Linked DNA regions of Mus musculus. The protein of the gene in region 2 interacts with the protein of the main gene of each other region in a pairwise test. Links are inferred from orthologs where the notes say so. Each region holds a gene or a part of one and is shown on either strand. Other genes may lie near its edges. The genes, in order: Ubxn8, Vcp, Rpl9, Ubxn2a, Rnf115, Fam104a and Vamp2.

The links.
Region 1: the proteins of Vcp (region 2) and Ubxn8 interact in binary tests that used the Homo sapiens proteins (3 or more experiments, as listed by UniProt). The link is inferred for Mus musculus from reciprocal best matches to the Homo sapiens genes VCP and UBXN8.
Region 3: the proteins of Vcp (region 2) and Rpl9 interact in binary tests that used the Homo sapiens proteins (3 or more experiments, as listed by UniProt). The two-hybrid records come from large-scale screens. The link is inferred for Mus musculus from reciprocal best matches to the Homo sapiens genes VCP and RPL9.
Region 4: the proteins of Vcp (region 2) and Ubxn2a interact in binary tests that used the Homo sapiens proteins (3 or more experiments, as listed by UniProt). The link is inferred for Mus musculus from reciprocal best matches to the Homo sapiens genes VCP and UBXN2A.
Region 5: the proteins of Vcp (region 2) and Rnf115 interact in binary tests that used the Homo sapiens proteins (3 or more experiments, as listed by UniProt). The link is inferred for Mus musculus from reciprocal best matches to the Homo sapiens genes VCP and RNF115.
Region 6: the proteins of Vcp (region 2) and Fam104a interact in binary tests that used the Homo sapiens proteins (3 or more experiments, as listed by UniProt). The link is inferred for Mus musculus from reciprocal best matches to the Homo sapiens genes VCP and VCF1.
Region 7: the proteins of Vcp (region 2) and Vamp2 interact in binary tests that used the Homo sapiens proteins (3 or more experiments, as listed by UniProt). The link is inferred for Mus musculus from reciprocal best matches to the Homo sapiens genes VCP and VAMP2.

Annotation. Positions count from the first base shown.
Region 1 is NC_000074.6:33,631,963-33,635,598, reverse strand, and holds part of Ubxn8 (UBX domain-containing protein 8), read left to right. Parts: intron 1-239; coding exon 240-310; intron 311-1,971; coding exon 1,972-2,097; intron 2,098-3,636. UniProt on the Homo sapiens protein: Involved in endoplasmic reticulum-associated degradation (ERAD) for misfolded lumenal proteins, possibly by tethering VCP to the endoplasmic reticulum membrane. May play a role in reproduction.
Region 2 is NC_000070.6:42,997,708-43,001,779, forward strand, and holds the start of Vcp (transitional endoplasmic reticulum ATPase), read right to left. Parts: upstream 2,801-4,072; 5' UTR 2,472-2,800; coding exon 2,455-2,471; intron 1-2,454. UniProt on the Homo sapiens protein: Necessary for the fragmentation of Golgi stacks during mitosis and for their reassembly after mitosis. Involved in the formation of the transitional endoplasmic reticulum (tER).
Region 3 is NC_000071.6:65,388,574-65,392,703, forward strand, and holds the start of Rpl9 (60S ribosomal protein L9), read right to left. Parts: upstream 2,859-4,130; 5' UTR 2,803-2,858; intron 2,420-2,802; 5' UTR 2,419-2,419; coding exon 2,373-2,418; intron 2,282-2,372; coding exon 2,166-2,281; intron 1,911-2,165; coding exon 1,815-1,910; intron 1,038-1,814; coding exon 905-1,037; intron 579-904; coding exon 498-578; intron 107-497; coding exon 1-106. Other genes in the region: Lias (lipoyl synthase, mitochondrial isoform 1 precursor), read left to right, coding at 3,056-3,100, 3,647-3,816.
Region 4 is NC_000078.6:4,904,653-4,908,802, reverse strand, and holds the start of Ubxn2a (UBX domain-containing protein 2A), read left to right. Parts: upstream 1-1,249; 5' UTR 1,250-1,454; intron 1,455-4,150. UniProt on the Homo sapiens protein: Acts to repress the ubiquitination and subsequent endoplasmic reticulum-associated degradation of CHRNA3 by the STUB1-VCP-UBXN2A complex in cortical neurons.
Region 5 is NC_000069.6:96,786,583-96,789,240, forward strand, and holds part of Rnf115 (E3 ubiquitin-protein ligase RNF115), read left to right. Parts: intron 1-1,987; coding exon 1,988-2,103; intron 2,104-2,658. UniProt on the Homo sapiens protein: E3 ubiquitin-protein ligase that catalyzes the 'Lys-48'- and/or 'Lys-63'-linked polyubiquitination of various substrates and thereby plays a role in a number of signaling pathways including autophagy, innate immunity, cell proliferation and cell death.
Region 6 is NC_000077.6:113,681,312-113,685,655, reverse strand, and holds the start of Fam104a (protein FAM104A), read left to right. Parts: upstream 1-1,504; 5' UTR 1,505-1,570; coding exon 1,571-1,794; exon of another isoform or gene 1,795-1,841; coding exon of another isoform or gene 1,842-2,068; intron 2,069-4,344.
Region 7 is NC_000077.6:69,087,201-69,091,444, forward strand, and holds the start of Vamp2 (vesicle-associated membrane protein 2), read left to right. Parts: upstream 1-1,327; 5' UTR 1,328-1,425; coding exon 1,426-1,427; intron 1,428-1,905; coding exon 1,906-2,026; intron 2,027-2,530; coding exon 2,531-2,689; intron 2,690-2,775; coding exon 2,776-2,827; intron 2,828-3,449; coding exon 3,450-3,466; 3' UTR 3,467-4,244. UniProt on the Homo sapiens protein: Involved in the targeting and/or fusion of transport vesicles to their target membrane. Major SNARE protein of synaptic vesicles which mediates fusion of synaptic vesicles to release neurotransmitters.

The DNA.
Region 1 (3,636 bases), on a different chromosome or scaffold from region 2:
CTGTGTAGCCCTGGCTGTCCTGGAACTCACTCTGTAGACCAGGCTGGCCTTGAACTCAGAAATCCGCCTGCCTCTGCCTCCAGAGTGCTGGGATTAAAGGTGTGCGCCACCACCGCTGGCACATGTTTTGAATATTTGAAAAGTATGTAGTGTTCATATCTAAAGACTTAGTCTCAGAGAAAATGCATTTGATTCTTTGAACTTCAGAATTAAAAAGTGCTTCTTTGTTTTGGATTCAGAAGGAGAAAAAGAGAATGAGAAAAGACGGAGACTCGTGAGGGAAAGGCAACAGGAAGCCCAGGGTGAGAAGGTAAGGCTCAGCGCTTGAGGGCGTGAGGGCGCCTTGGGGCTGCCTCGCCATCTGCGTGGGAACAATCACTGATGGCTAATGCAGAAGGCATAACATTTTACCTTCCTTTCTTTTCTGAGACAAGGTCTCTTGTATTGTAAGGCGACCTTGAATTTACAATGTCATTGAGGATGACCTTTCTTCCACTTCTTAAGGGCTGGGATTACCATACTCAATGTTGACTCTTTAAAATTACAATTAAAAAAAAACCCTTATTTATTACATTTTATTCCTTCTTCATTCATGTGTCTGTGTGACACATGCGGAAAGAGTTGGTTCCCTCCTTGCCCCAGGGTTTGAACTCAGGTGGTCAGGCGTGGAGACAGATGTCTTTACCCACTTGGACAGTTGGACTTGCCCTGGCCACTGTTGTAGCCACTGATGGTCTCGGTCTCAGGATCTTCTGGTCTCAGTTTGGTGGCCTGAGTGCTGAGATAAAGGATATGTGCTTCCATTCCCAGAACATCCATGTCTTACATATGATATATATGTATGTGTGTATATATATAATTAAAAAAAATTATTTCCGAGTGTTAGTCACTGTTCTGTTGCTGCAAAGAGACACCACAACCAAGACAACTTTTCTAAAAGGAAGCTTTAATTAGGGGCCTGCTTAGTCCATGATCATCATGGACGGAAATAAGTATGGTACTGCAGGAGTAGCTGAGAGTTTTACTGCCTGGTCCTCAGGTAGCAGGCAGAGTGGAAGATGCTGGAGCTGGCATGGACTTTTGTTTGTTTGTTTGTTTGTTTTGTTTTGTTTTTTTGTCTTTTGAGACAGGGTTTTTCTGTATAGCCCTGGCTGTCCTAGAATTCACTTTGTAGACCAGGCTGGCCTCGAACTCAGAAATCCGCCTGCCTCTGCCTCCCAAGTGCTGGGATTAAAGGCGAGCGTCACCACACCTGGCTTGGCATGGACTTTTTTTTTTTTTTTTTAAAAATAAGTACACTGTAGCTGTCTTCAGACACTCCAGAAGAGGGAGTCAGATCTTGTTACGGATGGTTGTGAGCTGTGGTTGCTGGGATTTGAACTCAGGACTTTTGGAAGAGCAGTTGGGTGCTCTTACCTGCTGAGCCATCTCACCAGCCCCCCATGCCCGACTTTTATTTCCTTTTTTTTTTTTTTGGCATGGACTTTGGAAACCACAAATCCCACCCCCAGTGACACACCACCTCCCACAAGCCTGTCTTAGGGTCACTATGGCTGTGATGAAACACCTTGATCACAGCCACTCTTATAAAGGAAAGCATTTGATTGGGGTCGGCTTACAGTTCAGAGGTTTAGTCCATTGTCTTCTTTGCTGGACACATGGCAGCGTGCAGGCAGATGTGGTGTTGAGGAGGTAGCTGAGAGCTCTACATCCTGATTGGCATGCAGCAGGGAGAGAGAGACACTGGGCCTGGCTTTAGCTCCCCCTCCCCCACCATGCATAACAAGGCCTCCTCATTGAAGGATTGCATTTCCCAATCGTGCCAGCCCCTCACCACTAAGCATTCAAAGAGATGAGAGCATGGGGGAGGGGGGCGTTCCTATTTAAACCCCCTTAGGTTTCAAACCTTGCTCTTGATTTAGAGCGTAGACAACACTAATGTATAGTAATTGCTCGTTCTTGCTCCACCAGGCCAGCAGATATATAGAGAATGTTTTAAAGCCTCAGCAGGAAATGAAGTTGAAAAAACTGGAGGAGCGGTTTTATCAGATGACAGGGGAGACCTGGAAGCTGACCGCTGGCCACCGACTCCTAGAGGTTAGAGAACTCTGCTTTTGTGTTTTGGATACTATTGTTTGTTTCCTGTTGGTGTGTGTGTGTGTGTGTGTGTGCACGAGCATGCTCGTGTACACACACACACACACACACACACTCACACACACACACACACACACACACACACACACACACACACACACACACACACACACATTTTATGCCCAGTGTGTACTTGTCCATATAGGCACATGCTGGAGGTAGTCCCAGTCCTGTATTCTACTTTGGAGAGCTCACTCCAGCTGAGCTCACAGTTTTACCTAGGCTGCCTGGACAGGTCTGGGTCCTGACCTAACCCCCACCCCATCCCCAACTCCCATGTCACCCCGCCTGTTTAATGTATGGGTCTGGGGCTTCTAAACTCAGGTCCTTATGAGCAGAGCAGCAAGTGCTTTCTCACTGAGACATCTCCCCAGCTCCTGTGTGTCCTTTACATATATTGCTAAGGCCCATATTTATGCTCATGTTTCCTTGTATATGCAGTTATTTGCATGTATGTGCTTGGTAGGGTTTTGAGTCTGGGTCTTGCTGTGGAACTCAGGCCAGCCTTGAACTCATTTTGTTGCCATGGTTGACCTCCCGCTTGCAGCGATTCTCCTGCCTCTGTCCCGTAAGTGCCGGGGTTGCAGGCAGACACCACAGCGCTTGACTCCGAATCAGTTTTATTATTCGGTGCATTTGTGTATGAAGTGGTTTTATACTGTGACAAATAGGTGCTCTCTGAGAAAACTGCCGAGTCACGCTGTTCTGAGGAACTTCTGATCTTTGCTTAAGTAAAATATTCAGATACCCAGAGTATTAAGCTCACATTAAGAAATAGATGTATTCATTTTTATTTTATGTGCATGAGTATTTTCCTTGCATGTATTCATGTGTACTCAGGAGAGGGCGTCAGAGTCTCTGAAACTGGAGTCGAATGGTTGTTAGCCTTCATGTGTGTGCTGGGAACCAAACCTGTGTTGTCTATAAGAGCAGAAGGTGTTCTTCACTGCCGAGCCATCTCTCCAGCCCTAAACTCACATTGGATGGCTCACGGTTGGTTCTGTTTCTGAAATCATGGGCAATGATCGTGTGTTGTCATTTGGAAGTGGAAGGTTACAGTGTAAGTATTTTACAGAGAAAAGGGATACCCAGGCTTTACAGGTTAAAGATACCTGTGACAGATTTACAGTAAGGCCACCTTTTGGTGTATGTTGTGTTTCCGGCTTACAGGGCATCTGACATTGTCTTGTAAAGAAAGGGATCCAGTAAAGGTGCCAGGGTGCTTATGCTGTCTACAGAGCCAGTTCTTCCTTGTTTCACAGTCGCAAACATACCATACAATAGTCAAGGGCCAGTAGTAACATTGATATCAATTCTGGGCAGTACACAGTGCCACTGCTCTGTGCAGTGATCTCCTGTGTATGTGGTGACATGTGGACAAGGCCACAGGACATCAAATGTGTTCGCTGTCACACTCCACCTCATTTATGTCATTTTCGTTTTATTACTTTATTTGTGTGGGTGGGTGTTTTTCCTGCC
Region 2 (4,072 bases):
AAAACTGGCAAAAGGCTTCAAGTCAGCCTGAGCTGCATACCAAGACTGTTTCAAGGATAGCAGTAATCATATTATGCATGTCTACCAAGCACTCTTCTAGAGTAGAGATGAGACAGCAAAATCAAACAAAAAAGCACTGCCACAGGAAATAGCTTACCTTCACTTATTTTGTTTTTAAAAAAGGGTCCTGCTATATATAGCTCTGCCTGGCTATGTAAACCAAGATGACCTTGAACTTGCAGTGATCCTCCTGTCTTTATTAGAATCACAGGCATGCAACACTCAACTATGTTGTTACATCTCTAACCATTACTTTATAGGGTAATGGGAGTTTCCTTAGCTCTTGTTGATTCAAAAAATAAATATGTGTAAGTCCACCAGATTTTCTACTGGCCCACATCTACGACAATATCTTCCCCCAGAGGCTGTGCATCTTGTTTGATTTACAGGAGTGCCTCAAGTTATCACTTTGTATTGTATTCTCAAAGGGGCTTTTCAGGACAACCTCCATCCAATCCACCTACCAATCCAGACCCTAGCCCTGGCTGAGTAGCAGGCCCTTAAACTCCTGAAATTCTCCAGCTACCCGTGGGGATTAGAGCTGGTACCTCCAAAAGAGCAGAGGGTAAACTCCAGCTCTCTATGTTCTTTAGGGAATCTCCTGTCATCTGCATGACTCAGGTCCTTTCCAGAACTCAAAGACCACAAAAGGAACCTGGAAATTCAGGTAAGAACCACCACAATGAAGGCAGAAACTGCCTATGATGCCAGATTAAAGGAATTCTAATTTAAAAAAAGAAAAAAAAAATCTAGATATAAGTGGGGCATACTGTGACATTCATGTAGCCCCCTTATATGGAAGGTGGTGGCAGCAAGACTAGTTCAAACACAGCCTTGACTACAAGGCTGAATTTGAGGTCAATTTGGTCTACTTGAGTCCCTGATATCAAAGGACAAAACATGGGGCAGTGGCAGCTCACACCACTAGTCCCAACACTTGGGAGGCAGAGGCAGAAAGACCTCTCTGAGTTTGAGGCCGGGCTGGTCTACAGAGGGAATTCCAGGACAGCCAGGGCTACACAGAGAAACTCTGCCTCAAAAAAAAAAGAATTTTAACTTAAAAAAAAATTGAAAGACTGACAGAGTATTTATTTTAAAAGTGTATTTTGTTGTTTTTTTTGAGACAAGGGCTCAATAAGTAGACTCCCAGTGCAGCTAGCCTATAGCCTAGTAATGTGCTATTCTGCCTTTCTTTCAGGTTCTGGGATTATGTATGTACACAAAACCACCCATCCTAGCCTAGCTATTTAAAAAAAAAAAAAAGTCCTTTTAGCCAAACAACTGAGTGAATACTTCATCCCAAAGAAATGAAACCTACAACACTCAAAACACCTAATGGCCTCAAAACCTCTGGGTTTGTATATTTTCCTACACTTGCTAGTTTTTTGTTTGCTTTGTTTTTGTATGGGAAGCTCTAGTTTCTAACTAAATGGGCTGAGATGGCTAGGTTTTATTTTATGCTCTCTGAAAGATGAAGGTGGGGCTATAAGAGTCCAGAGACTCAACATAGATGCTTGGGGATAGAGATCTGTTTATTTTGAAGAGTTAAGCCAACTCTAACCTACAAGCTCTCAAAGCTAAGATACAAAGAATAAAAACAACTCGGATTCTAACTTCAGCGCCTAAAAATAAAAGAAAACCAACTCCTTTCTAGCCACCTCCGATCATAGCAAAAACAAAAATATATACACAAAGCAAAACACTAACGAAAAAAAAAGCCCCTAGTTAAAACTTCCGGGTGTTTACAACAGGTCTCCCACAGTGAAAAACTGCCATTTGAGAAGGGCATGACTTGCCCTCTCCCTAACAGCCCCTCACTACACGTAGTTCAGAAGATGCCAACTTCCCGCAGTGACACCGTCCCAGATCCACCGAGACCGGGCTGGATTCCTCAGATCTCCCTGGCCCGGCCTTCCCTAGAGTCTCAGGGCTCCTGAGGCCTTCACGTGGCCCCAAGTCCACGCCCACCGGGCCCAGTCGCGGCCTCGGGCTTGCAGTGTTTTCCCTTCTCAGGCTCAGGGTCTTCTGCGTGTGGTCGGCGACATGGCCGACCGGCGTGCCAGCGCCAAAGGTCTCCACGCAGGGAGTGTGGACCCCAAAGTCTAACTAGGCCGGGGCCGCCGCGCCGAGGGAGCTACTCAGGCGGTCGGGGCCTGCATGACACAGCACCATCTTGTCCAGGCTCCGACCCAGGCCCAGCGCGGACCCGACCTAGGGGGCGCGCGGGTGCACAGCCCGGCCTGAGGCCCTCCCTCGTCCCTGGCCTCTCCTTCCCTCTCTCTCCCTCCCGGCCTAGACTCTCCGACGCGGCCCGACCGGGCCTAGCCAGCACGGCGGGTCCCACGGTGCGCGCCCCCGCAGCCAGCGGGAGGGCGGGCGCGCGCAGACACTTACTCGGCTCCAGAGGCCATGGCGCGCGCCTCTCCCGGTCGGCGGCTGTGGCGGCCTGAGGGTAACGGCTATGAGAAAGGCAGGCGACCGACTAGGCCGGGGCTGGACTCGCTGAGGCGGAGGAGCAACAGCAGTGACAAACCCTCTGGCAGCCTCCCTCTCGCTTCCTCCCAGGGGCACCGGGGCGGCAGGCGGGCGGGCGGGAGACGCTAGCTCCTAATCCGCGAGGGGGGCAGCGACTAATCAAACGACGGCTGCAAACGCTTCACGGAGACTGAACCGAGAAAAGCCGAATCATCGGAAGGAAAGCTGCTCTAACCCCAACCAATCAGCGCCGGCCTTGGGACTCGTGCCCGCCTCTCCGTGCCTCTCCCCAGCAACCCGCAGACCGTAACCAATCAGAAAATTCGTTTGTGGCCTGGCCCCGCCTCAAGGCTGCAACACGCCTAGTAACGCCACGTCAATTGGCCGCAGCACTACGCTTCCTCGACGGATAGGGAGTCTTGACCAATCGACAAAGGCAATAGGCCATATCCTCTTTATCCCTCGGAGGAGGCCTCTCCTACTTGGCTTCAATTGATTGGCTCCTTAGTTTATAAGCAGCTGGAAGAACCTCGCACAAAGGCCTGAACCCTTATTAGTTTAGTTGGGTTGTAATAATAGCCCACATTGTTCATTTCTCGCCAATCCTAGGGATCCTCTTACTCCACCATACTAAAATCCTTCATGCTCCTTTAAAACACTGGCTCCAACCAAGGGCGTGGTTGATGGACTAGGTCTGTACTTTTAGTAGTTGGGAAGATGAGAGGCAGGAAGACTAATAGATGGAGATCAACCCAGGATACAAGACCATATCTTTAATTCTAGTCCCAAACAGTATTTCAATAAATTTTAAAAGCAATGTGGTAGTCCATGCTTTTAATGTCAGCACTTCGGAGGCAGGCAGCAACCTGTGACTTTTGAGTCAGCCTGATCTATTAAAAAAAAAAAAAAAAAAAAGAGTTCCAGCCAGCCCAGCCAGAGCTACATAGTGAGACCCCGTCTCAAAACTAATTAGATAAAATTTTTTAAAAGGTAAAATTAGCTGGGTATGGTGGTGTACATCCTAGATCCCAGTACTCCAGAGGCTAAAGGTAGATTGAAAGTTTGAAGCCAGATAATGCTGCATAACTAAACTCGAGTCAAACAAACAAACAAACAAACAAACCAAAAAACAAAAACCTAGCCCCACCTACCCCACCCCCTCTTCTTCTCTGGACCCCAGTTCTGAATCAGCACCCCAGCTCTTACTTCACCCTATTGCCCTTGCACTCTCTTGTAATCATGCAGGTTTTGCAGTTTCTCAGGCCTTGGGAGTACACACTCCTTACCATAGAGTATAAATATTATCTGGGGAGGGAGAGCACTGAGGTTCATGCAAGTCAAGGACAACTGCAGAACACTCAGAAATGCAGTCGTGCCCAAGAGCAAGAAAATCAACCAAGTGCTGTGACTTAAGGTCCTTGTGTCCCAAAAGACAATCCATTGACTTTCATTATAGTCAAAAGATGGTTGGTTGGCTCTGGTTGACTCAATTCACCCTTCACCTCCTACCCACACAGACTGACCTGAGAGATGTTTG
Region 3 (4,130 bases), on a different chromosome or scaffold from region 2:
CACTCGTCAGCCTGCTGCACAGTTCCCTTCTCAGACACATAGATGCCGTCCAAAAACTTCCTGATATCCTTGTTTTTAACTGTTGTGGCTTGCTGAATCAGGGCAGCTACACAGGACACAAAAAAGTACATAGCCAAATTCATCTCATACAAGCCCAACTAACTAGAACTCAATCCCTCAAGCCTACACAGGAGGGGCTCCTTCACTGTCCTTGGATCTCATCTGAGCAGTGGCATACACACCCCAATATAGACATAAAAACGAATAATACTTTCCCAACCAAGCCAGCCATGTGCCACCCAATTTGAACATCTACGAGCAGAGCACACACAACCATTTTGTACTCATGATACAAAGCACAGCATACAAATACCTACACAACAGATCCACAATGGATTTCTTCCTGTTTCTCAGAAGTTTGGAAACAGAAATCAGACACACATTCAACCTCAAGGCTCAGATAAAATGTTACTGTCTGTTATGACAAATATACACACCTGAATTTGAAACAAGTTCAATGTCATTTCCTTCAAGGATTAACTCATCCTTCTGGGCTTGAGAGACAGAACAAGCCACACCTGAAAGAGGTGTGTATTCAACAGCGTTAACAGGAGAGACATCTCACCAATACAACTCCATTTAAAACCCCAAGCAACCAATCAAGTTCTCTAAGACTTTAGGGTTGGAATTGAACCTCCTGTCATCTCAGATGACAAATGTGACTCCCAGATCCCACAAAAGGCTGATGCATCCTACAACTATTTCAGCATACTCCCTCTTCAGGAAAACCTCAAGCTCAGGACCACCCAACAGTCTTCACCACACCCGAACACCAAGGCTCCATCCAGACCCAAGGACAAAGAACTGTAGCAAGTTCCCATCATCCCTCAAGGCCCACACACACCTGTCCTCATCCGAACCCTGCGGATGTATTTTTCACCCAAGAAATTTCGGATTTCAACCAAAGAGCCATTCTCCTGGATGACGACGTTGATGGGGAAGTGAGCGTACACAGACCGCATCTTGTATCGGAAGCCCTGCATCAAACAAGCAACTGTGAGCCATCCTGAACAAACTCAAAGTTTTCGGTTCAGCTGGCCTAGATTTTGAGATTCCTCTTCTTCAGTTTCCCCAGGCTGAATTTAGAGTCAGCTCTAAATGCCCTAAGGTGCTTTTGTCATGTCGTGGAAATTTAACACACGCACTCTACCCACCATATGCAAGTTGCAACATCTTCCCAAAGCTCCAGGAGGAAGCTTTCTTTTACTATCTCATCCTTTGAGGGCATAAGATCCTCATTTTTGGCATTAGGCATCTGTGGAGTTACTACAGACACCACCAGATAATAAGTGACTCCAGACTAAACAAAAGGCCCAGTCCTCCCCAGGAGCAACAGGGTAACACGATCCAATAGGTATACAAAGTACAGCTTGTGTTTATAAAACAACACCTCTTCAGCATTAACTGTTTTGGGAGAAAGGATCTAGAACAGTAACTTCAGAGATGCACAAGTCAGATCTTTTTGTTTGTTTTTTTGAGACAGAGTATAACTCTGGCTGTCTTTTCTATCCATTGAGTCCCAAACATACCAGCCAGCAATCTCCACTATATGTATCTACCAACAAACAAAACCCCTGAAACAGAAGTAAAGGAGCCTGCCCAGCAAATTCCTGGGTCTGATCTGTGCTAACCCACCCCCAATATCTGAAAGTGCCTCCTTTGTAGAAGTACAGTCCATCCTGGCCCTAGACATTTATACACACCCAAGGAACCTCTTCCAAAGGGTTAAAGGGCAGAGTGGAGGGCTGACTTACCAGCGTGACACCCTTGATCATGTTCTGAACATGACTGCAGATGGTCCTGACGGTGGCCAGTTCCTTTCTGTTACCCCACCATTTGTCAACCCGGAGCTGAAACACAACAACTTTAGAATTAAAACACAGCACTTTTAGCTGGCGAGTACTAGCACGCAAAGCCATGTACAAATGCACCGTATGTCACACGCACAGGACACCAGAGGGACGACACACACACACCCAAGTTCACTCATAAAAGAACTGAGTCCGAGTAACCCACTCGGCCACGCATGGGGTGGGGGATTAACATCGGTTACCGGGTTTTGTTACAAGCAAGCACCCGAAGCATCGGAAGACACAAGTTCTTACCCTTTTCTTCTTCTTCCCAAGAAGACTCAGCTCCACGTTGATGTGATTGAAGTCCCTCCGCAGAGTCCCCCTGGGGCCCTTCACAATGACTGTGCGCCCCTTCAGAGTGATTTCGACTAAACGAGAAAGTGAACTGGTGAGACCATAGGCCGGGGTTTAGAGCATGCAGGAAAGCCGTCAGCGGCCGGCGGGGAGCCATCTACTCACCATTCTCTGGAATGTCCACAGTCTGATTGCTGAGAATGGTCTTCATCCTGAAACACAGACACCCGGGTGAGACGGCTGGGGCGGGGGACGCTCTACACCCGAGACCCGGCAGCGTTCCGCTCCCAACGGGAATCGCCAGCTACGAAAGCCGGCAACAAGGACCCAGGTGTGTCCGGGACAAGGACTGGACCGGGGGCCCCGGAGAAGAGTAAGGAAGCCCGGCTCGGTGCGCCATGGCGGAAGGGCTACGACCGAGATGGGCCTGAAAGCCCGAACGCCACTTCCAGCTCGCGCCACCAAGTCCCAAGGACGCACGTCGTGCTGGGGGACAGTCGGGACAAAGCCTTGGGGCATCGGCTCCATGCCGCCGGGGTCCCCAAACAGAGGATGGGTTCAGATTCCCGGGGCACCCGGTCCCTAAGCTCCTCACCTCGCAGTAGATGGGGCAAAGAGAGAACGTCTTTCGTCATCACGTTCTTGTAATCCGTCAGGGCCCTGCGTGTCGCGTCACGACCCGAGCGACGGCTTTAAGGCGGAACTACTCGATTGCCGAGCTAGTCGAGTCGCGCCGGTCGGCGACGACGTATCGCGTCATGACTCAAGCGACGAGTTGTTGGACGCGTCCGGTGCCGGGGGTGCTGTTCCCTCGATCCCTTGACACTCCTGAGACCTAAAAGAGGGGGATGGCTCTACGCTGCTGGGATACAGCTCGCAGCCTGGGGTCCCGGGTGAGCGGCGGGAACGCCATTGCTTATCCTAAGTTCAAAACTAGGGAAATTGTTCCAGATATCCTTTTTTTAAAAGCCCCGACAGCTGTGGCATATCTTAATTATTGCAAACTTGTTGACAACATATTTTAGTACCTGTTTTAGGAATAGAAGACATGAAAACGTGGCATGTTAAGTCACCCACTAAGGTTTTCTAACCTATATTTAGCGGTTAACTTTGATCTGCGTCCCACTTTTTTCCCCCATTTGTCATGGCTGAGCGTGCATCAGGGTCTCTGTAATCTAGGCTGGCCTGAAACTAAATTCTTAGACCAAAGACGACTCCTCACTCTGCCTCCTCTGAGAGCTGCATTACGTGTTTGAGCCGCCGTGACTTACGGTTCTTTCACCTTGAGTCTTTTTCAGGTTCTGATCTACGTAGTTTGAGCTCTTAAATCGTTTTACATAATTTCTGAATCAATTTCTTTAGCTTTGGTATTATAATGGGTTAAAACTAAATTATTTCAGAGTCTACTGAGTGAATGTTGTACTGAACCCTTTTTGTAGATATTTGGAAGATATGCGTTCACGGTTAGAGCATTAAGTTCTTTGCCAGATAAGAAAAAGGAATTTTTGCATAATGGACCAGACCTTCAAGATTTTGTATCTGGTGATCTTGCAGACAAGAGTACATGGGATGAATATAAAGGAAACTTAAAGCGCCAGAAAGGAGAAAGGTAATTGAACATTAGATTCCACTTTGACTTTGTGCATTGTTTGGTTTTGTTTGTTTGTTTGTTTGTTTTGGTTTTGATTTTTTGAGACAGGGTTTCTCTGTGTAGCCCTGGCTGTCCTGGAACTCACTCTGTAGACCAGGCTGGCCTCGAACTCAGAAATCCACCTGCCTCTGCCTCCCAAGTGCTGGGATTAAAGATGCACTGCCTGGCATTGTGCTTTTTTTTTTTTTTTTTTTTTTTTTTTTTTCTTTTTTAATCAAGCCTTGTAGGTTTTTCTGTACCCTTTGGCCATTTCTTCATCCTTTCCAAAATGA
Region 4 (4,150 bases), on a different chromosome or scaffold from region 2:
AGCTGGTCTAACTAGAGAGTTCCAGGACAGTCAGAGCTACACAGACCTTGTCTCAAAAACAAAACCAAACCAAACCAAACCAAACAAACAAAAAACAAAGAGACTATTGTATAGAGGAAAATCGATGAGATCTGCAACAGTTGCCTAGATTAGCTAGACAAAGTCTTACTCTCTCCCCCACTCCCACGTGTGCGTGTGTGTGCGCGTGCGTGTGTTTCCTCTATAGGGAAGAATAAATAAGGCTAGAAAGACGTGTGAGTAGGAAAATGTAATCAACCAACAATAGAGGAGACAGTGAATCACACAGGACATCAGAGACATTTTGTTTATTCCAAAATCAGTGTACTTTCTGGAGTGGCAAAAGGGAGAGGGGATGCTTCCAGGCTCAGGCTGAGGCTGTGAAAGTGTGGGAACCTGGAGAAGATATGCTACACTAAAAATGGTACGTCGGTACAGCAAGTATTTTGACCAGATAGCGGTTACAAGCAGTCCTGAAAAATCATTAAAAGGACAAAGACCGGGTGTTTAAAGAGTATACGCCTGACCTTGCTGTAAGTAGAATAAGGGGCATTCTGAAGTCCTATAAATCCTATCCGAAGCCAACTTCAGAGGCAGAGGCAGGAGGATCTCTGAGTTCCAGGACAGCCAGGGCTACACAGAGAAACCCTGTCTCACCCCACCCCCTAAATATATACACAAGCAAATAAATAAGTCCTCTAAAAGAAAGGGGTCTTTGTAGAGAGCCTTTTTAAGAACGCGAAGGGCGGGCAAGTTTCTTTTAACAGTCACTCTTCAGATAATAGGGCTCAGGTGAAGTTCGCTAACAGGATGCAAGAACTCTCTAAGGAAGAGCACAGGAGGCATAGAAAGAAATAGGTAAATCTGGATTATCAGGTGAACGCCCACCTAGTTCCAGCTTTCTCCGCGCCTCCTAAGGAAACAACAAGCAGCGGCACCTGCAGCAGCAAGAAGGCCACCGCCATTAGTGCGCGCCTTGCGGCAGCCTAGGAAAACCCGCCGCAAGAAGCCCCGCCCCCGGCGCGCTCCCGTTTCAGCCAGACAATTTCCTCACGGCCGCGCGGAGCCGTCCCCGGCGCGTTCCCGTCAGCCAGGCGCGCCGAGCCATCCCCGGCGCGCTCCCGTCAGCCAGGCGCGCTCCTCCGAGCCGCGCGGAGCCGTCCCCGGAGCGCTCCCGTCAGCCAGGCGCGCTCCTCCGAGCCGCGCGGAGCCGTCCACGCGCGCTCCCGTCAGTCAGGCTCGCTCCTCCGAGCCGCGCGGAGCCGGCGCCGGCGCGCGCCGGGCAGTCTGAGGGAGGCCGGTCAGATCTGCGCGGCGAGGCCGCTGGTCGCGACAGGGTTTCCCGGCGCTCCGGGGCTGAGGGGCTTCAGCCCAGCGGCGCCGGCGCTTGCCCTAGCCGGGGCACCGAGGACTAGGCCGTGGGGCCGCGCCCTGAGGTGAGTTTCCCGGCTCCAGGTCATGTTCGGTGGGTGACGTATCGGGCGGGTGGTTCCCCGGTGGCGCCCTGGGCTGTCGCCTGCGACGGCGACGTCTGTTCCGCAGTAAGTCGCCACCTGGGGCTTCTGGCCCGCGCGACTGCGGCCCGGGAAGGACGCTGGCGGACCGAGGCCTCCACCCGGCCCGGCCCGGCCCGGCCCGGCCCAGGTGAGTGCGGACCTGCAGCTGCCGGCTCTGCTGGCCGCGGGAGTCGGAACTGGGTAGAAGGACATAGCGCTTCTCTCTCTGGAGGCGTCTAGAAACTTCGGGTTAGGTGCTGTCGAGACATCTCCATTTCGAAGGCGAACGCTGCGAAAAGCGCACTCCTGAAATACAGAAGGACTAGATGGCTGAACGTTTCCTAATTGACTTCACCAGCCTTCCTTAACAGACTTTAACTGATGTTTTGGAAAGATGATGTTCACTGTTTTCCTAAATGACTTTTTTTCTTCTAGTATTCCCCCCCCCCCTTTCCTAAACTCGTGGTAATAAAAGTTTATTACTTCTCAGCAAAAATGAAGGTCAGAGTGGCTTCCAGTGTTTGTTCGTTTCTATGTAATCGAGATAAAAAATAGGGAACTGATTATCTGTTTTGACTCGGTTTTTTGTTTGCTTTGTTTTTGTTTTCTTTGTCTTTATCAAGTACCAGGCTGGACTTGGAATTCTCACACTCCCAAATGTGCTGGTATAACAGGCGTTGATTCATCTCCTGAGTTATCTTGATGTTGATACAGGGAATAACATCAATAACATCACTAACGTCAACGTTATTCCCTGTACTGGTGAAATGCAAAGGTCAAAATGTGTTCAGGTAGGAAAGAACACCTGAGTACAGAGTACTGGGAAGGATACTATAGATAGGTAGCAGTTACTACTTGAGCACTTACTTTTTTTGTTTGTTTGTTTTTGGTTTTTCAAGACAGGGTTTCTCTGTGTAGCCCTGGCTGTCCTGGAACTCACTTTGTAGACCAGGCTGGCCTCAAACTCAAAAATCCTCCTGCCTCTGCCTCCCAAGTGCTGGAATTAAAGGCGTGCACCACCACTGTCCTTACTCTTAAGAAATGTTATTTACTGAATGTGGCCAACGTTTTTCTGTATTCATATCTGTGCACCATTTTTGTGTCTGGTACCCGTGAAAGCCAGAAGAGGGCGTCGTCTTTTAAAACTAAACCACCATATGGGAGCTAGGAATTGAGCCAGGTTCTCTGGGAGAGCAGCCATTGTTCTCACTCAATGAACTATGTATGTCTCCAGCTCCTTGAGCATTTAATTCCATCCCCACCCCCCACCCCGCGCTTCTTTTGGGGGCTCAAATCCAGGGTTTTTTTTTTTTTGTTTTTTTGTTTGTTTTTTGTTTGTTTTTTCATAAGCTTGAATACTCTTTCTTGTACCTCTGAGTTACACCCCAGGCCTACATGAAGACTTTAAGTGAACTTTTACTGTGGAGCAGCACACAAATGCTCACTCACCCTAGCAGAGCACCATTGATGCTGATGGAGGCCAGCTTCCCTTGAATTTATTGGACTTACTTCTAGGTCATGGGTGACAGGTTACAGGACAGGTTACAGGTGACAGGTTACTTACAGGAGTACAGGTAACCCCAAAGCAGCTTCATTGCTGAAGTCTTACCCTCTCATGGATAATGACTTCCTCAGAGCTCATAGATGTAGTTCCCCCACTACCTCTCTCTTAACCTTGGACACTCCATAAATCCTAGAATTCAGAAGGCCATCAAGCATAACTTGTCAGCATTATATTCAGCTGACTAGGAAATGAGGGGAAGGGTTCGTGATTTCAGGGGAGGGTCTAATGACCCTTCCCACCCTCTTGTTCTATGAAGAAATATCAACGGGCTTGATCTTGAAGGTCTTTCGAAAGTCACAGCTGCTCTGATGAACGGGGTAATGGCTGTTATGCTTCAAGTACATCATTCTAATGCTTGGGAGAATTAGCTAATGCCTTAGTTAATGTTATTCAGTTTTGAAAACTTATGTACAACTAGGCTTTGTAATTCACACCTTTAATCCCAGCACTCAGAAGGCAGAGGCAGGCAGATCTTTTTCCAGGCCAGCCCAATCTATATAAGAACCTATCTCAAGCCGGGCGTGGTGGCACATGCTTTTAATCCCAGCATTCGTGAGGCAGAGGCAGGCGGATTTCTGAGTTCGAGGCCAGCCTGATCTACAAAGTGAGTTCCAGGACAGCTAGGGCTATACAGAGAAACCTTGTCTCAAAAAAACAAAACAAACAAACAACCTATCTCAAAGAAAGGAAGAGGTGGGGCAGAGAGGGAGAGAGGGACTGAGTCCTAAGAAATGATGGCGATTATTGAATCTACTTTTAGATTATATAGTATAATTAGGTAAAGAATTATTAAATAGGAATAAATGCTGGTAAATTAAGATAGAAACTAAGAGGAAGAAATAAAATATAAGCTATTTGTGATAAGGTGTTAATAGTGGATTTATTTTGAGCAGAGGTTTTATAGGTAAATAGGAATTAGGAGAAGGTTGACTTCTTAAAGAGGGAAGGGTCCATGCAAAGGAAATAGATGCCACAGAGACTAAGAGGATGGCTTCCAAGAATGCAAAGTTCACAGCATCTGGAGTATGGAGAACAGAAGGGTACTGAGTGGTGAAGAAAATCAGGGCCAGAC
Region 5 (2,658 bases), on a different chromosome or scaffold from region 2:
CAGATGGAAGAGCAAGGGTGTGAGAGATCTTTAGGAAGGTTCTCCTGGAAATATGTTAGATGCAGTGAAGAGGAGAGAGAACAGAAGTGGGAATTGGGGAGACTCTACCTGGAGTTCAGATTGTGTTCTAGTGATGGTTGCAATGCTGACAGAAAGGAAAAGACAGATTTAGAGGTGTGATTTTCCGATTGTCATGGAGGCACACAACTTTAATCTCAGCACTATCAAGGTAGAGACAGGAAGATCTCTGAGTTCAAGGCTGGCCTGGTCTACATAGTGAGTTCTAGGCTAGCCAGGACTACATTGTGAGATAAGCAAGCAAGCAAGGAAGAAAGAAAAGTTCAATTTTAAAAAGAGTTAGTTTTATTACTGATTACATAGTAAGATGAAGGAGGCAAAGGATTATTAAAGGTGATTGTAAGGTTCCAGAGCTTTATAAAGGCAGCACTGCCACCATCAGTGATGGACAATCATGAACTGGCCCTGGGTCTGCTGAGATGCTGTGACAGTTAATTCTGAATTTATTGATTTTGAGGTGCTAGCTGAGAGTCCACGTAGAACTGAGTGGGACTGTCTTGAGGTTGGTGTTAGGGGAGTCAGCTGGTGTGAGGTTTTGTGTGTATTTGGATTGCTAGAGTTAGAGTTGGGATGCTGCCTGGAAGGCTGTTGGTTGTCGCAGCCGTGACGTTGAGTGAGAGCTGGAGTTAGGATGAGGGATGGGAGGGAGGAGAAGGGAGGAAGAGTCTCTTAAGGGGCAGTTCTCCTCAAATGCTTCCTCCTTGATCATCATCAGGGCCTGGAGCATAGCTCAACCATTATACTATTAACCACATTTCTGCAATTCAGAATTTGCCACTTGGAGCTCTCACTACATTGATTTGGAGTCCTGAGTGTACTTGTCCTCTGGTATAGCCTTTAACAGCTTCAGAGGACCTTGGGACAGCTACACTGAAGAGCGTAGTAAGGAAAGCACAGGAGACAGGTAGTTAAGGCAGGTAGTAGCCACTACTAAGGGTGCTCAGTCCCTGATGGTGGACAGGTTGCCACTGTTTTCTAGGCAGGACCTGCCTGACAGGCTGTCACACATTAGGCAAGATGCTTTCCCTATTTAATAGACAAATAAGTTTCTTCTCACCCGTTTTTTTTTTTTTTTTTTTTTTTTTGTGGCTTGTTTTGTTTGGTTAGGCAATTTTTTTTTAGAATTAGTTATTTATTTGCTTAATGTATTTGAGTACTTTTTCTGCATGTAAGACTGCATGTCAGAAGAGAGCATCAGATCCCATTACAGATGGTTGTGAGCCACCATGTGGTTGCTGAGTATTGAACTTAGGACCTCTGCAAGAGCAGTCAGTGCTCTTAACTGCTGAGTCATCCCTCCAGCCCTGCTTACCTATTTTTTAACTTAAAAACTCCATTTGTTTTGTGTATGTGGGCATATGTACCACAGTGCATGTGTGGAGGTCAGATAACTGTGGAAGTTGATTTCTTCTTCCATCATGTGAGTCCCAGGGACTAAACTTAGGTCATCAGGCTTGATAGCAACCCTTTTATTCGCTAAGCCACCTTACTGGGCCAGCTCTGCTAATTCTTCTAACTCATTACACTAAAGATTGGGCCTATTATATGATTCCTACCAGGTCTATTGGGATTGGCCCCATTCATTTGCATGTCTATTACTATTTCTGTCTCCATTTTGAATACAATTCATACGTCTCATCTGCCAACCACTTAGATATAACTTTTCTCCTCCATCCCCTTGTTGTGTACAGTGGGGGACACCTACGTTTCTTGGGTTGTTAGAGACATCTGGTTTGGTTTTGTTCTTTTTTGTTTATGAGGTAGACTTGGTAGCCAAGGTTAGCCTTGACCATCCGTGCTTCTGCCTCTCCCATGCTGGGGCTATAGGCCTGCATCACTTGCCTGCTCTTGGTTGTTTCCTTCCTTCCTTTTGCTTGTCACTTTAAAAGTGCACATCTTCCTCCAACAGATACGGGTTTAGAATGTCCAGTATGCAAAGAAGATTACACAGTTGAGGAGAAAGTCCGGCAGTTACCCTGCAACCACTTCTTTCACAGCAGCTGCATCGTGCCCTGGTTAGAACTGGTGAGTACAGCGGCTTGTCCCGTGACAGGGCAGCTGGCCCAGCTGGCTTTGGCTGGGCGAGGCTGGTTCAGAGTAAAGATGTGGCTGCAGTTCAGAGAGCCAAGTAGATGAGATTTTAACTTCCTTGCGGACCCTAGTACTGCTGGCATTGTTTTGTTTAATTATCATCCTCTCGTAGTGCTTCTAGCCACAGGACAGCCCCCCCCCCCCCCCCATGGCACTCCAGCAGCTTCTGAAGCACAGCTAGCTGATTGTGGTTGTCCCCATGGTGACTGGGCAGAGTTGGAAAGCTGTAACAGAATTGATGTAGAATAGCCTACCTACAGAGCCCAGAACATTTAACTTTCTGTCCTTTAAAGGTTTAATTTTTATTTTCTAATCATGTATCTATGTGTGTGGTTGGAATGGGTATGTACACATGAGTACAGGTGCCCTTGGAGGCCAGGAGAGGGGATTGTATTCCTTGGAACTTTGATTACAGGCCATTGTAACTCCTGGGTGCTGGGAACTGAACTCATTTTTCTGCAAGGGTGGTGCGTGCTTTCAACTGCTGAG
Region 6 (4,344 bases), on a different chromosome or scaffold from region 2:
GAGTCTGAAACCACTTTACAAGATAAAAATCCATTTGTTTAAAGCAACCATTACTTTATCGTTCATAAAAGGCACACCCAAACTGTTTCCCACCGAGTGCACCATAAGTCTTCTGTTAGTGAGAATGCACTGCCGCACTGAAGGGCACACGACAAAGACAATACATGGGCTTTCCAGTTTTTTTGTTTGTTTTGTTTTGGAGACAGGGTTTCTCTGTGTAGCCCTGGCTGTCCTGGAACTCACTCCGTAGACCAGGCTGGCCTTGACCTCAGAAATCCGCCTGCCTCTGCCTCCCAAGTGTTGGGATTAAAGGCGCGCGCCACCGCCGCCCGGTTGGACTTTCCAGTTTTAACGGTAGACTTTTTTGAGATGATGGGGTCTTACCTGGTAGCCTTGTCTTCCCTGGAACTCTCACTAGGTAGACCAGGATGGCCTTGAACTCACATAGATCAGCTTGCTCTGCCTCCTGAGTAGTGGGATTAAAAGGCGTGCATTACTACGCCAGACTCTACACCCTACACTTTAACAGGGGTTTCGTTTTCCTGCCTGACCTCTTGTCGACTCTCCTAAAGACCCCCATGCTTATGGATCACTGTTCACGTTTGGCAGAAACTCTGAATATCAGTTTGTGTAAGGTGGGGAGCTGATAGTACTGAGTCCTAGACAAAGAACTGGATTATGCTCCTGACAGAGAAAAGGGAATGCGTCTGACAACCAAAGTTAAGACTTCCCCAAGTCTTAGAGTACACGTATTCTGGTGGTGGTGGTGAGATCACATGGGAGACAAGGTCTCAAGTAGCCCAGGCTGGCTTCGAACTTGTTACACAGTCGAGGATGATTCTGACCTCCTGGTCTTGCAGCTTCTCCTCCCAAGAATGGGGATGACAGGTGTGCGCAACTCACGGCGGGCAGGGACCTCGCGATTCGCCACTGATCAAGCTCACCTCGCCAGCCGCGAGGCAGCTCCGTCCACACCGCCGCGTTCCCACGCCTGCCGGTCTCCCCCACACCTCTCGGTCCGGCCTCTTCCAGCAGGTGGGCGTGGCCCTTCCCGGTACGGAACTCCGTTATCCCGTTCGCCTGTTCCGCACTCCTCTCTTGACCTGCAACAAAGGTCGCGGAAAAATAGCCCAGCCCTTAGCTACTCCATGGAACGGGCTCCGCACCGTTCGGAGACGCGAAGTTCCACGCCGCACACTCTTAGAACCCGGAGCCCACCAACACCTTCCCAACCAGAGGACCCCTGAGCCTGTGGCCGTCCGCGTCTGTGCCTGATGGAGCTCGTCTGGTTCTTTTTAAAATTTTCACCTTAGAGAGGCTTAACGCAGAGACAAGTATCAATGATCGTCAAATAATGTAATTTATCTAAAATCTGGCTTGACTTTTACGTCGTGTCCTGTTTTGTTTTTGAACAGGCGGCTGCCCCGGACACCTAAACGGGGGTCCTGGAAGTTCCCGGTCAGTCTTCCCTCTGGGACCCGCCTCTTCCTGCGTGCGCGGTGATGGGAAAGCGCGGCCGGCGTCCCGCCTCCGCGCAGCCGCAGGAGGACAGTACCACGGCGCCTGCGACATGGGGAGGCGCGGAGGCGACACCGGAAGTGGCTGTGGTCCGGGTCGGCCCGAGGGGGACTCAGCGCCCGCAGCAACCACCCGCGCGGCGGCGGTCAGAGCTCAGACCCGTGCGGGTGGGCGTGGCGGGCGCCGGGACACAGCTCCGACTGTTCGCTGTCGGCGCGGGGCGGCGCCGCGTCGCTCGCCTTCACCAGCTGCCATGAGCGAGCGCCTCCGCCCCAGGTGAGGGAAGGGGGGAACCCGCTTTCTCCGCGGCCCCTCGGCCGAGGATGTGCGCTCTGGAGCCGAGGGGCGGACGGAGCCGGCGGGGTGGTGGTGCGAGGCTCTGGGCTGCGCTGCTCTGCGGTCGGAGGAGGCGGAGGGGAGAAGGTGGCGCCGCCTCTGACACTTGGACCCCGTGGGCAGCCAGGGAGGCGACGCTCTGGAATCCAGGGCTGCCCCTTCTCCGTCTTTTCCTTGTTTTCTTCGTCTTCTGCCCTTTCCGCTTCGGAATGAGGTTTGTTCGGCCCGACGAGACGGACGGTGTGGTCCTTCCTAAATTGAGGCGGGCGGTGGTGGTAGGGGGATGGGAGGGATGGCCGATCTGGAAGAGATGGCTCCCTTCGAGCGAGGCGCCTCGGAGAGGGGACGGGATGCTTCGGGGGCGGGGAGCTGCTGGCGCCCCAAGGTCAGGAGAAAGGCGGGGGTTGGGCTTAACCCCTGCAGCTGGGAGGGCTTAGGGCAGACCGCAGCGCTGTGCCCTCCCTCATCTGATGGACCCGGGTGGGTGGTGACCCACTCTCGGTTGTAGCATTAGCAGGCAGGATTCTAAACAGTTTGGATGAGGGGCCAGTTGGCTGGGAGCAGGGAGGTGGCTAACACCACGAGTTACTCTCAACCCTCACTAGGCGGGCGGCCCCTCGGGGCTTTAGGCCCGATCCAGATGAAGTTTCTTTTCTCCTTATTTTCCGTCTGGGAAGAAGTAAGTTGGGACGCCTTACCTCAGAATGAAGAAGGCTGGCTTTATTTCTTACTGGAAAGTCTCCTAATAAGATGCTTGACGATCTATCTACATCTACGCTAAGTTGTACTTTTTCATTTCTCTGGTGGAGAACAGAGAACGGATTTAGAGAGACTCATTTATTTATCTAAGTCTATTCAGGCTCGCGGCTCTTTATTCCGTAGTCGTCTCAGGCTTAAAGAAGGTGGATCGTAGGCTTGCTTTTTTATTTTCTCTCATAAATGATTTTACTTATTTTATTTTATGTGTATGAGTGGTTTGCCTGTGTATATGTATGTACATCACGACGTGCGTGTCTAGTGTCAACGTAGACTCAGAGGAGGGCTGGGAACAAAACCCCAGTCCTCTGTAGGACTAACAGGGGTCTTCCGTGGCTGGGCCATCTCCTCAGCCCTGAGTCTTGTTCCTTGCATTCTTTGGTTATGAATGTAATCATTGTTTTGCAAGGCTTCTCCCTGAAACAGTTATTTCATGGGACTGGGGTTCCCCAACATTCTGAGATGACTTGATCCAGTGGTGAGAATTTTAAGGTCCCTAGACTGAATTGAGTGACTGATTTTGGTTCTATAGTAATTGTAGTAGAAAGCCTGTACTTGTGTCAAAAAAAAAATGATCAAACTAAATTGGAAATTAGAAGGTGCTTGCCAGAATTATAATCTGGTCCATGGCATTAATGTACTCCAAAAGGTTTAATCTTACTGATTGTACAGATAGAATGAAGCCATAATCTTGCCAGTTATTAGAAATCATTGGAAGGTTCAAATTAGGTCAAGTTGGAATTATGGACCAGTTACAGTCACACCATTAGAGTTAGGGCTGTGACCTTTAGATGCAGCAAGCCTGAGCTGACTGCCATCTTTTAGATTCTTTTGGAATGTCTCCCTCATGTGACAGCCCTCAGCATTTTCTGTCACTAACAGATTTTTTTAAATCTAGTGCTGCAGACAAGTAGTGTAAGTTTGTGCTGATTACAGATTCTTTTTATCTAATATACTTATAGAAATCTTAGTGTGTTTATATATTTTGGTGACTTTTTTTCCCCCTCTTTCTGGTGACTTCTTTAAAAACCAGTTATCAAGGACAGACCTTTCTTGCCTAATTTTTATTTATTTATTTTTTTATTCTTTCTCATCACCCATGAGCTAGCTTGGCCCCCTCTGGTGTCAGACTTTCTCAGTAGACTGAGAACACTGTAGAAGGGTGGTTGTATGGTAAGGAAGTATGCCTTATCACAGATCCTTAGCGTCTACATATGAATTGGGAGAGAGACACCTATAGTAAGAAGCATTTGAGATGGACTATGATTGTGCTTGTCTTTAACCCCAGCCCTCAAGAGGCAGAGGATCCGAGTTCATGGCTAACTTGTTTTGTATAGCCAGTTCCAGGCCATCCAGGCTACCTGGTGAGACCTTTTATAATAAAATGAAAACCAGTTGTTGTACTTTCTATTTAAGTCTGCCTAAGGTTCTTTGAAGAGGACCAGGAAAATAGGACAGAAGTGAGATATGAAAAGTGATGGAGCCAGCCATTCTGGGGGTGATAGATCTAGCAATTGTTTTTCCCTAAGTGGAAAGGAGGTGCCTAGAAAGACAGTGAACCGACTGTAAACTTGTGATCTTGTCAATTATTAATAAGGGTATCGAAAGCTGAGTGTTCTAGGGAGGCATTTAATAATGAAAACTAAGAACAACAAACATGGAGCCTAGTAGAGCTCATTCTTAGCTCCTGACCACTGAAAAGAGGCCCGAGAGATGGTGCTTATACACTGAGAA
Region 7 (4,244 bases), on a different chromosome or scaffold from region 2:
CAGCTGGGAACTCACACCTCAGATGACAGAACTTGTCCTGGGGCTTCTGCTGGGAGGGGGTTGGGCACTGCAGCACAGGAGGCCCTGGGAAGCCCGGGAGTGGGAGGAGGAGGAAAGCCAGACCCTGCCTGTCTCTGAGAATAAGGCTCTCTCAGGGATGTAATGAGTACTCCCACATCAGTAGGTCCTCCCCTAAAATGCCTCCTTCACCCTGGAGGCTTACTAAATAGACAGCTGCTCCCCGGTTCTTTCTCTCCCTAGATGCAGGATGGGAGTGTGTACAGCTGCCTTGGCTGTTTAGTGTACTTAAAATGGAGCAATCAGGAATGGACCAGGCCTAAGAGAATATCCTATTGTGTTATCTAGATCAAGCCATTTGACAAATATTGAGTGTCTCCATACATGATATGCTTAGTGTTTAAGGTGCAGGGAGAGGCAGCTGGTTCTGTCAAGGTCACGTGTGTGGGATTAGTCCACATGTAAAGTTGTGCCTATAACCAAAGTACTTCAGGTGCCACCCTTGTCTACTGTCTCTTTTCAGCCCAGGCTCTATGCTAGAGTCAAAGCTGAGGGGGGCAGTTGACCCCAGACGGGATCCAGCCTGTGGTATCACCAGACAGTCTGGGCCCTTCCTGGAGTCTCTAGCTTGTCTAATCTTTTTGGGGCCTGCTTGGGCTTTACCTGCCAAGTAGTACACCTGGTGAGAACTTCATCTGTAAGGATGGGCAGTTTCTCTCTCTCTCTCTCTCTCTCTCTCTCTCTCTCTCTCTCTCTCTCTCTCTGTGTGTGTGTGTGTGTGTGTGTGTGTGTGTGTGTGTATGCTTCTGTTACTCCTTTTGCCCTGACCCAGCTAGGAAATCAGAAGCCTCAGTCCTCCCTTGAGACATTCACTTGCAGGGTGATGGGTGAGATTAGTCCTCACGATTCCCCTCCACTCCAGCGTCAGAATTCCAGTTATCAGTATTGCTCTGGCGCCTGCCTTGGTCGCTTCTCATTTTTTCACCCTCAACCCATAGACCAGGTGTTGGGACCAGGTCGTAGGATGAGACGTTGGGCTATATGGCATAAGGACCGGTGTATCCTCTTCAAAGATAAGGGAGGATGTATTGGGGGGTGGGGCTGTATGGATTTCGGTTGTGGGTGCCAAAAGAGGCAGGTGCCTTGGGGGCGGCAGTGGGTTGGCGAGCTGGCCCCACAGCCAGACCCAACTAGGCGACCCCCGGCCCTGCAGCGCCCCGCCCCCGCGGTCCGCTTGCGACGTGTCGCCTGCCGCGCCCCGCCCACGCCGCAGTACCCGGATGCGGGTGACGTGCGGCCGCCATCTTCCAGTCCCGGGTAGCCAGCGCCAGTCGGAGCCAGCGCGAGCCGCCGCCGCCGCCGTCGCCGTCACTGCCTCTGCCAAGTCCACTGCCCGCTACCCCCGCCATGTAAGTCAGCCGCCTGCCACTCGCCACCCGCGGATGTTCTGCCCCTTGCGGGCCGCCACCCCAAGGAGTGGACCGGGAAACACGGGGGTCCCGCCGCGGGCCAGGCTGGTGCCCATGACTGCGGGCGGATGCCGGGAACCGGGTCCCTGGCGGTCTGGCACGGGCGATGGCTGCCGGAGGGAGCAGACCCAGCGTCCACCCTCCGCCCCGCCCCTGTCACTATGGCCGTCAGTCATTTCGGGTCGACCCCGGGCAGCATCTACGAGGTCGCCCTCATTTAACCAGAGGGGAAATTGAGGCATGAGGAGGGTCTCTCAAGGTCACGCAGCTCAACCTTAGAGTGACTGTCTCCCATCGGGTGGCCTTCTCGCGCAAGAGAGGACTGGAGGGACTGTGGATGGACAGGTGGATGGGTGGAGCCCCGGCCGTAGGGCCAGAGGCTTCAGGCCTCGAGTCTTAATCCGTTTCTCTTCCTTAGGTCGGCTACCGCTGCCACCGTCCCGCCTGCCGCCCCGGCCGGCGAGGGTGGCCCCCCTGCACCTCCTCCAAACCTTACTAGTAACAGGAGACTGCAGCAGACCCAGGCCCAGGTGGATGAGGTGAGTGTGTGTGTGTGTCTGTGTCTGTGTCTATGTCTATGTATGTCAAAGATGCAAGATGATGGGCTGGCAAATAGGTGTGGGAGCCCATCTTGGGTTGAAGGTAAAGACAGTTTATGCTTGTGGGTTTGGTCGGAGACCTGCCTCATCCCCTTTCTGTCTCCCTGTTAGCATGCACTTGGAAGGGCTGCAGGATGAATCAGTTGAGCTAGCCTGGGGTGTGCCAGCTGGGGCAGGTGTGCTCTGGTGATAGGCGGATCCAGGCCCTATAGATAGAGGGTGTTGCTGAGACATCTGAGCGCTATGGTAGCGGCATGACCCTGATGTGTGCTCCTTGCATGTCCCCTAGGTGTGCTAGGCATGTTCTGTGTATGTCCTTGGCATGTTAGCCTGGAAACATCGGGGTGCATGTTCCACTTGTGCCACGATGGGCACATGTTCAAGAAGTGCCCTCCTTGAGGCATGCCTTGGCACACCCCCCTGCCTCGTGGACCCCTCCCTCAGGTGGTGGACATCATGAGGGTGAATGTGGACAAGGTCCTGGAGCGGGACCAGAAGTTGTCGGAGCTGGATGACCGTGCAGATGCCCTCCAGGCAGGGGCCTCCCAGTTTGAAACAAGTGCAGCCAAGCTCAAGCGCAAATACTGGTGGAAAAACCTCAAGGTAAAGGGGAGGAGATGGGGACAGGTTGGGAGGGGCAGTGGGGAAGTAGGGTGTCACTGTGTCATTCACCTCCCTCTCACTCTTAGATGATGATCATCTTGGGAGTGATCTGCGCCATCATCCTCATCATCATCATCGGTGAGTGGGGCCAGAGGCCAGGGCCCCTCCCCTGGGGAGGTAGAGGCTTTCCCTGGGGAGCCTGGGCTTTGAAGGTCACTAACCTAGTTTTTACTCTGCAACCAAAACACACTTTGCTGCTATTGGCAGTTCTGACTCATTTAGAGCCCAAAACTTGAGTGTTGTATAGCCCTGCTTTCCCTGGTTATGGGTCAATCCGGTTAAGATTTTGGGACTAGGAATACCGGGTGGGGTCCTGGTGTTCGTCTAGGAACCCTTTGAGCCTAAAAGCTCCATCTGGGGATTCTAAAACGGGAGTAGGAGACAGGAAAGGGTGAGGTCTCGAACACCAACCACCAGGATACCACTTACTCCACTGTTTGAAAGCTACCGTCACATACCCAGTGCATTAAAGGTTTTATGCCCCTTTGTCCAGCCGTGGAGTTTAAGGGACCTCAATACCCACTTGCCAAGTCCCTTTGAAGAAACTGAGGCTGAGAGGGAAGGGATGTCAGCCAGTGGGGGAGTGGGGAGGCTTGGAACAGGGCCAGGCCTGACACACTGCTTTCTTTCTCTTTCTCCCCCTCTCCTCGTCCTCCTTTCTCCCCCTCTCCCTCGTCCTCCTCTTGCCCTCTCTCCACAGTTTACTTCAGCACTTAAATCCCTGAGGAGTCTGCCCTGCCTAAGAAGGGCCTCTCCCCCACCCCCAGCCGTTCCTCCACCTCTCAGCCATATCTTTCAGCCCCCTCCCTTGGATCCGTGTGTGTGTGTGTGTCCGTGTGTGTGCCCCCTGTAAATAGCCAGCTGTTATTTATACATATATAATATTATATATATTTGGTCTGTTTGTAGTTTTATTACTAGAAGATTTTTTCCGGTTGTCCTTAACACCCCTTCCTGAGGTTCCCATCACCTCTCTCTCACCCTCTGTCCCTTTTCCTCTTTCCTGATCAGCCCCAAGTCCCTTCATTTGCATCTGCTATGCAATAGCCCCTCTCCTCCTTCCCTTGGATTTAACCGATCTTTCCCTTATCTTCCCTGTACAATCCCAGGCCCTCCCAAAACAAAAGCAAACCCCACAGAAACAAACAGAACACCCCACCTGTCTAGGCTTCCCTAGGCTGCATCTTTGTATCCCTTGGGAGGCTCTGAGACTGGTTCCACTTGGTCCTAAGAATCCCAAGATTTTCTGGGAGCTTCCAACATGTTGATTAGCATATCATTTGCATACGCTGTCTGTTTCATTTTGTTTTGTTTGTTAGTTTTTTGTTTCCTTTCTGATCCATCACTCTTCACTCTTCTGTGTTTTTTCTTTCTTTCTTTTCGGAAGAGTCAGTCTCCATTGGTCCTCTTACCACACTTTTATTAGCACGACATTATCTGCAGGTGGTGGGGAGTCTGGACTTTTGGGGAACCAGGCTGCTCTGGACCCCAAGGT